Linked DNA regions of Xenopus tropicalis. The protein of the gene in region 2 binds, or shares a complex with, the protein of the main gene of each other region. Links are inferred from orthologs where the notes say so. Each region holds a gene or a part of one and is shown on either strand. Other genes may lie near its edges.

Evidence for each region.
Region 1: the proteins of ptpn11 (region 2) and gab1 are in contact, whole or in part, in a crystal structure (PDB 4QSY), measured with the Homo sapiens proteins. The link is inferred for Xenopus tropicalis from reciprocal best matches to the Homo sapiens genes PTPN11 and GAB1. Residues at the interface, in NP_002825.3 of Homo sapiens: Gly13, Val14, Glu17, Arg32, Pro33, Ser34, Lys35, Ser36, Thr42, Arg47, Thr52, His53, Ile54, Lys55, Leu65, Gly67, Gly68, Tyr81, Gln87, Leu88, Lys89, Glu90, Lys91, Ile96; in NP_002030.2 of Homo sapiens: Lys623, Val625, Glu626, Tyr627, Leu628, Asp629, Leu630, Asp631, Leu632, Asp633.
Region 3: the proteins of ptpn11 (region 2) and pdgfrb are in contact, whole or in part, in a crystal structure (PDB 1AYA), measured with the Mus musculus proteins. The link is inferred for Xenopus tropicalis from reciprocal best matches to the Homo sapiens genes PTPN11 and PDGFRB. Residues at the interface, in NP_001103462.1 of Mus musculus: Gly13, Val14, Glu17, Arg32, Pro33, Ser34, Lys35, Ser36, Thr42, Thr52, His53, Ile54, Lys55, Leu65, Gly68, Gln87, Leu88, Lys89, Glu90, Lys91, Gly93, Ile96; in NP_032835.2 of Mus musculus: Ser1005, Val1006, Leu1007, Tyr1008, Thr1009, Ala1010, Val1011, Gln1012, Pro1013.

What each region holds. Positions count from the first base shown.
Region 1 is NC_030677.2:59,326,630-59,330,831, reverse strand, and holds the start of gab1 (GRB2-associated-binding protein 1), read left to right. Parts: upstream 1-1,373; 5' UTR 1,374-1,931; coding exon 1,932-2,039; intron 2,040-4,202. UniProt on the Homo sapiens protein: Adapter protein that plays a role in intracellular signaling cascades triggered by activated receptor-type kinases. Plays a role in FGFR1 signaling. Probably involved in signaling by the epidermal growth factor receptor (EGFR) and the insulin receptor (INSR).
Region 2 is NC_030677.2:163,821,410-163,825,019, forward strand, and holds part of ptpn11 (tyrosine-protein phosphatase non-receptor type 11), read left to right. Parts: intron 1-147; coding exon 148-264; intron 265-340; coding exon 341-454; intron 455-2,190; coding exon 2,191-2,287; intron 2,288-3,610. UniProt on the Homo sapiens protein: Acts downstream of various receptor and cytoplasmic protein tyrosine kinases to participate in the signal transduction from the cell surface to the nucleus. Positively regulates MAPK signal transduction pathway. Dephosphorylates GAB1, ARHGAP35 and EGFR.
Region 3 is NC_030679.2:21,190,805-21,195,008, reverse strand, and holds the start of pdgfrb (platelet-derived growth factor receptor beta), read right to left. Parts: upstream 2,838-4,204; 5' UTR 2,300-2,837; intron 1-2,299. UniProt on the Homo sapiens protein: Tyrosine-protein kinase that acts as a cell-surface receptor for homodimeric PDGFB and PDGFD and for heterodimers formed by PDGFA and PDGFB, and plays an essential role in the regulation of embryonic development, cell proliferation, survival, differentiation, chemotaxis and migration.

The DNA.
Region 1 (4,202 bases), about 100 Mb from region 2:
ATGATCAGTTTTAGAGATCTTTCCAGTCCCAAATTGTTAGCTTCAGTTTAACAACCACTGGATATTTATGGGCCGGACATCCCTTTTATGTACAGTAGAAATATCTAACTACAGGTATGGGATTCCTTATCCGGAAACCCATTATCCAGAAAGTTCAGAATTACAGAAAGGCCATCTCCCATACACTCCATTACAAGCAAATCATTCTAATTTTTAAAACTGATTTCCTTTTTCTCTGTAATAAAACAGAATCTTGTACTTGATCCCAACTAAGATATAATTCATCCTTATTGGAGGCAAAACAATCTTATTGGGTTTATTTAATATTTGAATGATTTTTAGCAGACTAAAGCTGGCCATACACGCACCGATACTATCGTACGAAACCTCGTTTCGTACGATATTCGGTGCGTGTATGGCATGTCGGCGAGTCGACCGATATCGCAGGAAGCTGCTGATTTCGGTCGACTCACCGATCGGCCAGGTTAGAAAATTTTGATCGGGCGCCATAGAAGGCGCCTGACCAAAATCTGCCATCAGCGCTGAATCGGCAGAAGGAGGTAGAAATCCTATTGTTTCTACCTCCTTATCCGCTGTTTCAGCCCTGACTGTGTGTGGCGGATCTGACGATGTTTGGTGCGACCGATGGTCGCACCAAACATCGTCAGATCGCCACGTGTATGGCCAGCTTTAAGTTCTGGAGATCCAAATTACAAAAGATCCCTTATCTAGAAAACCCCAGGTCTCAGGCATTCGGGATAACAGGTCTCATACCTGTACTAGGAATGTGTCAGGACACTAGCACTTTTTGCTGGATTCCGACTGGCCTGAATCTTTAGTCATTACTAAACTAAATCCCTGTGTGACTCAAGAGCTCAGGACAAGACAACCTAAGACAACAAAATGTTGCTCCCATTTGACACCATTTTCAACTCCCTAACACTGAACGTGCAAATTAAAGTTAAGATTCAGTCCAGCATTTGGCCAAATGTTTAGTGGAGAATTTAGCATTCCACTGAATTAAAAACTCATGTATAAACTCATGTATACCAAGTCACAGAGGCCCCACAAAGAGTCACTGGGGAAACTTGGCGGAAAAATACCAGAATCCCTGCACTGCAAGCACAAGCCTCTTCACACCCCAGTTATCGGTATGGCCATGAAGAAATGGCCAAGGCAAAAGGAAAGCTCAGTTCTGAGGTGTGGAGAAGAGCCGCGACAATCGCAGGAGTGCTACCGATAACTACTCGATAGGAAACTTTTAGTAGTCAGTGAGTTTCCACTGGAACAAACTGGCGGCCGAGATTGGAGGCGTGAGAGGGATGGGAACGAAGACGACGCTGGCATGGAGGGGCGGGGAAGAGGAGGAGGAGGAGGAAAAGAGAGAGAAAGAGAGAGGAAAGGGAGGAGAGCGAAAGGATTTACTGTTACGAGATAAAAAATGTGTTATATCCAGTGCGTTTCCAGGAGGAGACGGATAAAGCGATTTATTTCTTTGCTCAAACGCGAATCCCCGGTGCTGCCCTCCGTAATGGCACTGGGCTTATAAAGCTTAGCCCGCCTGCGCCTTTTCTTCTGGGAAAAAAAACTTGTGTCCAAAGGAAGGAGGCGGAAGAGGCCAAGCAGCGACTCCTGTCGGGGAAAGGGGGCGAAGGGTGGAGAGCTGGAGTAGTTTAGTCATCCTTTATGTGCGCCCCTCTCAGCTGCTGCACTCATGGACTCACCCTAGTCATAATAACAACGCTGTAGGTACTCTCACTGGGACTGGGAATCCCGGACACGCAACTTTCCGACACAGGAACAACACAAAGTTGCGCAGTTCCCCCCTTTCCCTGCGGGACACAACGCGCCGGTGGGGCCGCAGGAGCAGCTGGATACTGGAGCCCCAAACTACTAACCCGGAGAGCAGGAGGGGAGCGCCGAGGAGCAGGATGATGAGCAGTGGCAGCGGCGGAGGGGTGGGGGCTGGAGGCGGCGGGGAGGTGGTATGCTCGGGATGGCTCCGCAAATCCCCCCCGGAGAAAAAGTTGAAACGTTTCGTAAGTAGATTGCGCCTTCATTTCCTTCCCAGAGGCCACATGTTATTGTTTGTATAACGTGGAAGTTTGCAGTGCTACTGGGCATTCTGCAGCTGTGCTGCTAACGGGTGCCCTGCCATTCTCTCACTATGTACTTATAGCTGTGACATCACTCCTTTATCAGGCACAATATGCCCTCCAGCTCGCAACATAAATAAGGATTCAAGGCTTGGAGCAGCGGCAACCCTCTATCTGTTGCACTACTACACTGCCCGGCAACTCTTACAGACAGGGTTCCCTACATGCTGCTGAACTACAACTCCCAGAAGTACTCTCTGGCCGGGAGTGTTTATGGTTTGATGCAGCAGGTTGCCCATCCTTGCTTTATGGCCTTTCATCTACAGTTATCATGTCTGCAGTCTAAAATCAGTAATAAAAGATGTCACAGTTAGTAGCTGTGGTCTGGAGGAAAGGATGAGGCCACAGGCCAGCTGGGTAGTACTCTTAACTGCCCCATTTGCTTTACTGATGAGGGTGAAGACACACCAAGCTACTTATTTTAAGGGTACTAGACTCCAAAAAATACCCTGCTATAGACAGTACTGAGAATTGCCTCTGCTAAAACACATGAAGAGGCAATTATCAGGAAATGATCAGCATTGTCTATTTTAGTAGCTGCTACTAGTAGCTCTGTGTCTTCACCCTAAGGGCAGTGACACACGGGGAGATTAGTCGCACCGCAACAAATCTCCATTGTCGCTGGCGACTAATCTCCCCACAATGCCATCCCACCGGCTAGAATGTAAATCGCTGGTGGGATGACATACACGGCGCCGCCATTTACCAAAGGTGCTTAAGTTTCCTCTCAAGGCAACTTCGGTAAATCGCAGAGACGCCTGTGCCATCCCACGGGCGATTTACATTCTAACCGGTGGGATGGCATTGCGGGGAGATTAGCCGTGTCACAGGCCTCAAGGTAGTGGCACATCGGGAGATTAGTCGCCCCACGACAAATATTCATTACCGCGGGCGGCTAATCTCCCCGCAATGCCATCCCATGTCGCTTTGTTTTCCCGAAGTCGCCTAAAGTTTCCTTGAGAGGCAACTTCAGGGGACTTCGGGAAAACAAAGCGAAGCGTATGCCATCCCACCAGCGATTTACATTCTTGCCAGTGGGATGGCATTGTGGGGAGATTAGTCGCTTGCGGTAACAAAGATTTGTCGCAAAGCGACTAATCTCCCTGTGTGCCACTGCCCTAAGTGTTTATCATTGTGTCCATATTTGCCAGTTGTGTATTATACTAGATAATGGAAACTAATACTGAAAATTTTATAACAAGTCACACAGAAGTTTCATGAAAGTATAAATACCCAAGAAAACAGACTCCGTGCATTTATAGAGTATATGGAATTCCTGGTATCTCGGAATTTACTGTAGGTGCTGAATGATGTCATATATTGCTTTAGTTTTATTTTAGCATGCTGCCTTTCCCTCTGGAGCGTTGTTTACCTATGCTTTGGGTTTGTAAGTCCCCCTTAAAGCTATAGTGACAATTTAGAAGCTGTTATTCGTTCTCCTGCTATACTGAGATTTTGCATCTTGCTAGCCTCCTGTCACATCATGTTTATTCAGTGCTCTGTAGGTTACCGGTCTCGAAGTGTGGAATAGTTGCACAGGTTATCCTATTACCTGTGCCACACTGTCAGCATTACCACTTGCTGCATCTTTTAGCTGTACTGTGTTTGTCCTGGGCCATCATCTTGCTACACTCCCCATTGAAAAGACAGGCAAACATTGGTAAAATAGGTATAAGGGCAGAAATGTAGCGAGTTATTTCATGTTGCCAATAGTCAGTGTTTAAAAGACAGTATATATTAAGTTTTCCACACTTTAAGTTGCATTTTAATTGCAGGACAAAAAAGCGCACATTGCTTTTCCAGTTTGCTAAAGTATATAGCTGTTGGGTACAGACTTCTTTCTTTGCCTTCCTATTTATGAAAAGCGGATGATCCGTTTATTTTATTATGAGACTGGAACTGGGACCTCTGGTCAATGTTTGTTATTCTGGTTTGCCAACTTCTGTTTCCAAACAGTTTTTTTTCTGGGAATAAGCTGTGTGGGAATAAGGCTGTCAGGAAACTACACGTAACTGTGAACGTTTGCTGAGAGGGCAGATTCCTGCA
Region 2 (3,610 bases):
AAACATACGAAAAAGTCGCAAAATGTTCGTTTTCAAGTCGGAACTTTTCCAATTCGGGTCGGATTCGTGGGTTAGTAAATCAGCCCCTTAGTATATTGAATTATTGTATTATGCAGATACCTTGCATTTTTTTTCTGCTTTCTCCAGGATTTAAAATATGATGTTGGAGGGGGAGAGAAATTTGACTCTCTGACAGATCTCGTGGAACATTATAAAAAAAATCCTATGGTTGAGACTTTAGGAACTGTACTGCAGCTAAAACAGGTAAGACTAATTAAACATGACAATTAACCCCTTGTACCTATTTACCCATATGCTAAGAATTTAGCTTTTCTTTTAGCCACTGAACACAACGCGGATTAATGCTGCAGAAATTGAAAGCCGGGTAAAGGAACTTAGCAAGCCAGCAGAGACTGCAGATAAATTTAAGCAAGGATTCTGGGAAGAATTTGAGGTACTTTTATAGTATTGTGTCCAATTTGTTACCCTCTGTTTGGCCTGTTATTTGTGTGGTTTTTTTTATATTCATTTGCAGTTACGGTTTGATGCTTAACATTAGAATGCTCCCCATCAGTTTCCTTTAATGATAATTAAAGTCAATATGCTATGGAGTTAATTTCTCCAAACAAACACAATCATAGATTGTTAGGACACAAAGATGAAAATAAGAGGGGCCATTGATTTATGTGTATAGAGAAGTAGATTCTGCATCATTTTTGTTCCATTGCTGCAGTAATTACATTTTGAAAGATTACTGATAAAGCATTTAATTTTACAGACTTTAAAAGCACTAAGGATGTTTTTTTTTATTAATGTTTGTCTTTGTAACGTGCATATAATTTAATTTTTTCCTACTAAAGACATGCTATTTATACCCCTTCCCAGGACACTTTGCAGCATTGCAGTATTCTCTCAGTAATCTAGATCTGCACTCCTTAGGTTGTACTGCAGTGTATGACACAAATTGCAGGTAGTTTATATTCGCTGCTTAATGAAAGTTCCTAAATGAAAAGACACAGTGAACTAACACACAGGAAAAGAGGAAGAGATCTCCAAATACAGGCTTTCATACATAACCTTAATTGTAGTAAAGCCTCTGAAGGCAGCAGAAGTAATTAATGTAGTTAAAACCTTATGTGCAACATAAGGGCTACCACACCTACAAAAAACTTTAATTACAATTTAATTATCCAGCTGCTTATCGATGCATAAAACTAACTGCAGCAATATGGAAGTCTGATGTCCCCGCAACATGCTTCCAGTGTATTTAAATAGTGGTTCTTTGTAAATGAACTCATTACCAAATGGACTGTCTCTTTACATTTGAGATGGCTTTGTGAACTCCTGTCTGAATTAGATGTGTTAGAACCCAGAATAAGTTTTCTTATGTGCTGCAGAAAACACACTGCCTTTTTTAATAATAAAGTAGAAGCACCAATGATTTTTTTTTCTGACTATATTGTCTGTTCTGAGACATGTAAACCTGATTTGATATGGTCCCCTTTTAGCCTTGCCCAATCAAGAGTAACCCACCATCACTGCTTTGCACTATTTAGTTTGCCTGCAATACAGCATGTATTATAGTAGAATTAACTACCTGTATTCAGTCAGAGCTACTTCTTCGTCTTGTCTTGGCCCACGGCCATTATGTGCGCTCTGCAGTCCACAGAGCAGTTCTTGGATTCAAGAGTTTGACAATAGTGTGGTTCGTATCAATAAAGTATGACTAACTCATCACAACAAGTTTAAAAAAATAATTTTACTCAGATATCCATATTAAAAAAGAATAAAAACCCCAGAGGATTCCGCCTTGTGCGTATTCTTAGGCAGTTATGTCTTTTAATTAATATATATGTAAACATTGAGCTCTTTCAATTGCAATTGTCTTGTTTTGGAACTTATGGGGATATAACTGCTTATGACTAAGTACCAGAAGGGTGCGAAACACGTAAGGCGAATCCTGTGTATGCTTTTTTTAATATGGATATTTGAATAAAATAAATTTTAGATATGTACTGTAGTTATGCCCATTAATCTGCAGGCAGAATCCCATTGACTCCTTTTTTTAACTGGCCAGTTTTGATCTCCAATAGCAGTAATTTGTGATTAGTGTGATTAGGTTTAACTTTAAGGGAAGTCCTCCCAAGAATTCTGTGAGACTACTTATTTTGTGTTATATTTGTTTTTCAGACTTTACAACAGCAAGAATGCAAACTGCTGTATAGCAGGAAAGAGGGACAAAGACAAGAGAACAAAAATAAGAACCGATACAAGAATATATTACCTTGTGAGTACTGACTGATTTGATTCTGCCCCATGTTAGTTAAGAGATGTGAGATTTATCATGCTGGTATTCAACTAGGGCAGGACTGTATGAAGTAAGAAAGAAACTCCCCAGTAACAATATTCCAACATCTAGTGGAAAGCCTACCCAGATGAGTAGCAAATGTTATAGCAGCAAAGAGAACACCAACTCAAGTTCATACCCTTGATTTTGGAATACGAAGTTGGAAAGGCAGTTATTGGAATACTTTTGGCCACATATTTTACCTGGAGCTTTCCAGTTAAGCATCTAATTATGACTGTTTTAAATTATTTTTATGCAACTTGGGGGTGCTAAAATCCCAGAAATAACTTTGTGGTAATGCAGTCTTATGTTAAATGGTGTCTGAGGATTTCCTTTTGTCGGTAAGAACAAAAATATATTTATTTGAATTGACATGCCAGGTATTTTTGAACCTTGATCCAAAAGCCTTGAATCGATGTTTTACTTGAACCAAAAGCCTTTTTTATTACAGTGTGTTTGCTTTGAGCTTTATTGTCTACAAACGTCTGGAGTAAAAAAGTTAACGTAGAAAGAAAAACTAGAGAAACCCTGGTGGGATATATAATATTGCAGTAGCACAAGTAAATTTATGGCTGCTAATTATTTTTCAGATCTCGCAGAAGGTTTCTGTTAATAATAAATGACTAGGTGCTAATTAGTTTTTGTTATTTTCACCTGCACTAGGTTTGTGGTTGATGTATTCTTTACCCACTGCAACCATATATAATCATTACTGAACAGACAACTAAGCCACAAAGAGGTAGTAGCAGCACTCTATTATAAGGAACTATTGTGCCAAGCAAGCAAAGTGAGTGTTCATAGTGCTGTGTCATTAGTAGAAATAGCTTTTGGTTTTGAGAAGGCAATTGTTCTGTTTTAATGCATCTCCACTTTTTGGTGATTGCCTAAATGTATATACAAATACACGCACTCATGCATAAGCAGTCTGTCCCTTTCATATGAAGCAGGACTGGACAAAGGGGTAGTCAGGGTAGGCACCTGCCAAGGGCGATATTTGTTCCTTCAGATCCTTGATTTTGCAATAAGCAATGGGGATGAAGGATGGCTAGTGCAAGTTACAGTAGCAGTGGCAAAGGACCTGTTGAGGAGGGTTGGTGATTTTGTTTCTTGCAGCTGAGGCAGCAGCAGAGGACTGGAACCAAGAATGGAAGTTTGCTAAGGGTTGCCTCGGGCGCCCAATTCTTTTGGATCATCTCTGATATGAAGTACTTTTATGGGAACTTGTTTTAGATTAATCTATGCCAGTTTTGCGGTGGTTAGCAG
Region 3 (4,204 bases), on a different chromosome or scaffold from region 2:
CATAAGTAATTACCACATATCAGCCAATCAAAAGAAACATATCTTATTGGTTACTGCACTAGGGTAAATAAGAACTATCCATGCTCTTTGTGAGTTGGCTCATTTTGCCATTACATTTCAATAGTCACAGCCAAGATTTGAACTCCCAGCATCCCCAGCCTGTACAGCTCAAACTTTCTGGCCCTGGAACACATGGTGTGTCACGTAAACTGACCCAATACACATAAAAAGCTGGACAGCTCTGATTTACGGAGTTGTGGAGTTATGAAATCATATTACAGCATATCCTCTATCCCAGTTGGATAATCTTATTTGTTTCCAAACATTCCTGTCAGCACGCAGCGAGCTTTGGCAGCGGAGACGCGAAATGCAATACTGTGTCTTTAAGGGCAAAGCACTTGTTTTACACAAAGTGCGACATTAAGCTGGAGCTGGGCCATCTCCCTGGCTGGGCTCATTTGGAATGCATTGTTCTGGCGAATAGGCATTTAACTGTTCTCTTCCACAACTCCCCGCGCCGCTCATAAATCAGCACTATTGCTTGCAGCCTCTTTTGCAGTGAGTTTGTAGAATGTCTGTGTAGGATAGTTGGCCAGCACAGGTAGGGGGAATATAGGCCCTTTTAAATTGTATTTTTCTATAAATATTTAGACATAGCTCTGTGTGTACATCTATCTATCTATCTATCTATCTATCTATCTGTCTTTTATGTGCATTTATTAACAAAGGTGGGAGCTGCCATACCACTAGTGAGGTAAAATGTAAACACATCCATAATAACAGTGTCCTCCAAGTTATCATGAGAAATTGTAGGGAGCTTGTCTGGCCTTACCAAGCAAATGATGAACTAACAACCCAGGCATGGTAGCAGCCTTGTAAGAAAAATTAAGTTATTAGAAATTATTAAGTATAAAGTACCTGATTTGCAACCCATTTATTTGCATTAAAGATGAGTAGATTGTAAGAAAATTATTTTAATACCAAGTATTTTTAAAGTGTCATCATTCCATAGTGCTGTACAGTAGAAGGTTGTAAACTTACATACGAATACTGATACAAGGGGTACAAACAGAGCTTACAATCTAAAAGCTACATAATCAAAGATTAATAGCTTGACCCATGTTAAACAGAAATCGTTCCCTGCAGTGCAAAGTTTAGCAATAGTTACTAGGTTGAGGGGTTACCTAACAAATTGGCAGACCCCCCCCCCCATGAATATGACTTTCCTGACTGAAGCTTGACCATTTGTGTCTGTTAGTTACCCCTCCCATATAGATTGTAAGCTCTACGGGGCAGGGACCTCGTTCATCTTGTTTCTGACTCTTATTGCAACTGTACCTTGTATTTATTTGTATTTATTGTTGTACTTTGTATTTATCCATTATCTTTAACCCCCTGTTTGTATTAATGTATTCTACTGTACAGCGCTGCGTACATAATTAGCGCTTTATAAATAAAGATATACATACATACAATACATACATACATAAAAGAGCCACCCCTTCTTTATGCCAGTTGGGTACAATTGGGTAAAGAGAATAAAGGTTGTGCCAGGCTAGGAGAGCTGTATTGGAGGGCACTTTATTACTCTGGATCACTAGCAAAAGGCAGCCTTTTACTTGAAGCATTTTTTTACTCCATCATTAGGCACATCAACGGGCACAAGGGGCAGGATCTGTATTGGGAGCTTGTCTGCTGCTCATAGTTAGTGACAAACTGCATCAGTTGGCAGAAGTGGAGCTGAACTTTAAAACTACTCCAGAGTGCAAAGCTTAGGTTCATAGGATCTGTCCTCTGACTGATGGTACCACATGCATGAGAAAACTGGCACAATGCATCCCAGGGTGGCATACTAAGCAAGCCTTTAGCCCCATATGAATAGACGGAGTTGGGCACCAATGCAGAAAGAAGGTAGATAACTTGGATAAGTTCTGAAGGGGTTACATTTTATCCACAGAATTACTTTCTTTGGGACCTGGTACAGCATCTCCATTGGTTACTGCTAGCATATTAAACCCATAACATATCAAGGCTTTAGGTGCTTGTCAAACTGCAATCTGCAGGTAAGTTCTGATCCATTCCTTTGGGAATTAGCACCACTGTCACACAAACACATGTAAAAGGAATCTCTTCTCTTCACTTTGCTTTCAGCAGAGCAGTAAGGCAGTTTTCCTACTATTGCCCACTTGTTCCCCACTTTTGTTTTCACTTTGACAGCTAGTGGGTAGCCAAGGCAACAATAGTGCCTGGCAGTTTTCCTAACGCCCCATTTCCCATCTCTGTGCAAAGCTTCACTTACCTGGGTCCCACTCCTGCCAGATGGAGCAGTTTAGCAGGGATCCCAAATCTCCCCGAGCTCTTCCTGTTTGTTTCTGTCTTGTCTGAATTTCTTCTCAGTGAGGTCTTGAAAGTGAAATTTTTCTAACGCTGGAATGTTTGACAGCTTTTTCCATTGGGCTTCATACAGCGCGAGTCAGGAAAAGGGGTTTGCCAAAAGAGTTGTTTTGGGGCATTCCTTGGTTATTGAGCAATAAAGTCCATCAGAGCAGCATCCTCCAGTTCAGCCGGCTCTATGGGACGTCTTCAGACAGATGGAAATTAGAAGCAGAGATGAGCGGGGAAAAGTTTATCCTGATATTTCAGTATATGGAAACATGTGCCAACATGGCAGCTTCAGTGATACAAAAATCACAATTGTTCCATCTTTCAGGAAATCAGAAGAGAGTTGCACTTTTCCTGCCTAAACAGTCTGTCTTGCTCTCTACTTCTTTCCAATCCTCCCTTTCTTTTTCCATGTGTAACGCCCACCTCTCCCAATGACTCCCCCCTCTGTGTCAGGGTGGCTGGGAGTCTGTTTTCAATTCTGCTTCATTTTCTCTCTCTCTTTTTTTTTTGTCTTCACTTTTTTTTTCTCTTTCTCAGGATATGAGGGGATGTGTAGAAAATTCACAACTGATGCCAGCTGCTGACTCATGGCTTTATTAAAGCCAACTCATATGAAACTGACTCCTATTATAACAACAAACCGGTGGGTTTATAATTGTTGCTCAGGTTAAATCTGCCCCCAGCCCCGAGCATTTTTAGCTACATCATCAGTCACTTGACTATTCTTTTTGTAATCCATTAGTGGTACAAATAATATATAAACTATAGACTGCTGCAATGGCTACACCAATACTAATATATAACAAACTGGGTAGCTGCATGTTACACTCACATAAATGGATTTATTTGAATATAAAAGCAATCTAAGTATTTTGATACAACGTATTTTGATGGACATTGGAACATACGTGGGTAAAGGTACCCATACACAATCTGGCAGATGACACATGTGCTAAATGAACCTATAATTTACAAGAAATCAAATGTGGTACAAGGATATCTGTTTGGATTGGCTGGCCACCATATACCAACCAATACGATTATATGTACAGTTTTATTACATGTATGGCCAGCTTAAGGGCCCCTATGTTTTAGACAGCTAAGGGGTGCAGTGGGACAGTGTGTTGCTGCGCTACTGCTCCCGTTATGCTTTAAACCCTGATAATATGTGGGGGAATCTTCAAAGATGCAGTTCAGCAAGATTTGGGCATCCCAGAGTTGTACAGCAGTGTTTACATCACCTTTAGAGAAATGCAAACCTTCCATAAAACATTGTGCCCCTTTATTGGGTGGAATACTTGAGAATCCAGTCGCAGTAACAAAGAAACATGGAATCAGATTTACAAAGATTAGGTGGCCAATGTTTTATACATCACTGATGTATTTGGAATATGGCATGTTTTTACTACACAGGGCCACCATCAGTGATTATGGTGCCACATACTACTAAGGGGGGGCACAATTAATGGCCCACTGGTTATTTGGGCCCCCTGGGTTGAGGGTCCTACCATGAAACAGAATGGGCACCTATATAAAGAGGTCATGCCCCCCAATCTGCCAACACCCAATTATATCCAAACTTTGCCTCCAATCTGCACAAACCTGCCCACTCTCCCGCAGCCCCAGCCCTTTTATCAGATCTGGACTGGAATTTAAAATAGGCCCTGGCATTTCAATACACAGAGCCCCCAACAGCCCCCAACAGCCCCCCACAGGCCCAAATAGTGACTGACTATGGCATCTTACAGCTTCCCCTCATTTGCTGGAATACACAGATTGCCAGTCCAGGCCTGTCTTTTGATGAAATCTCTCGGTGATC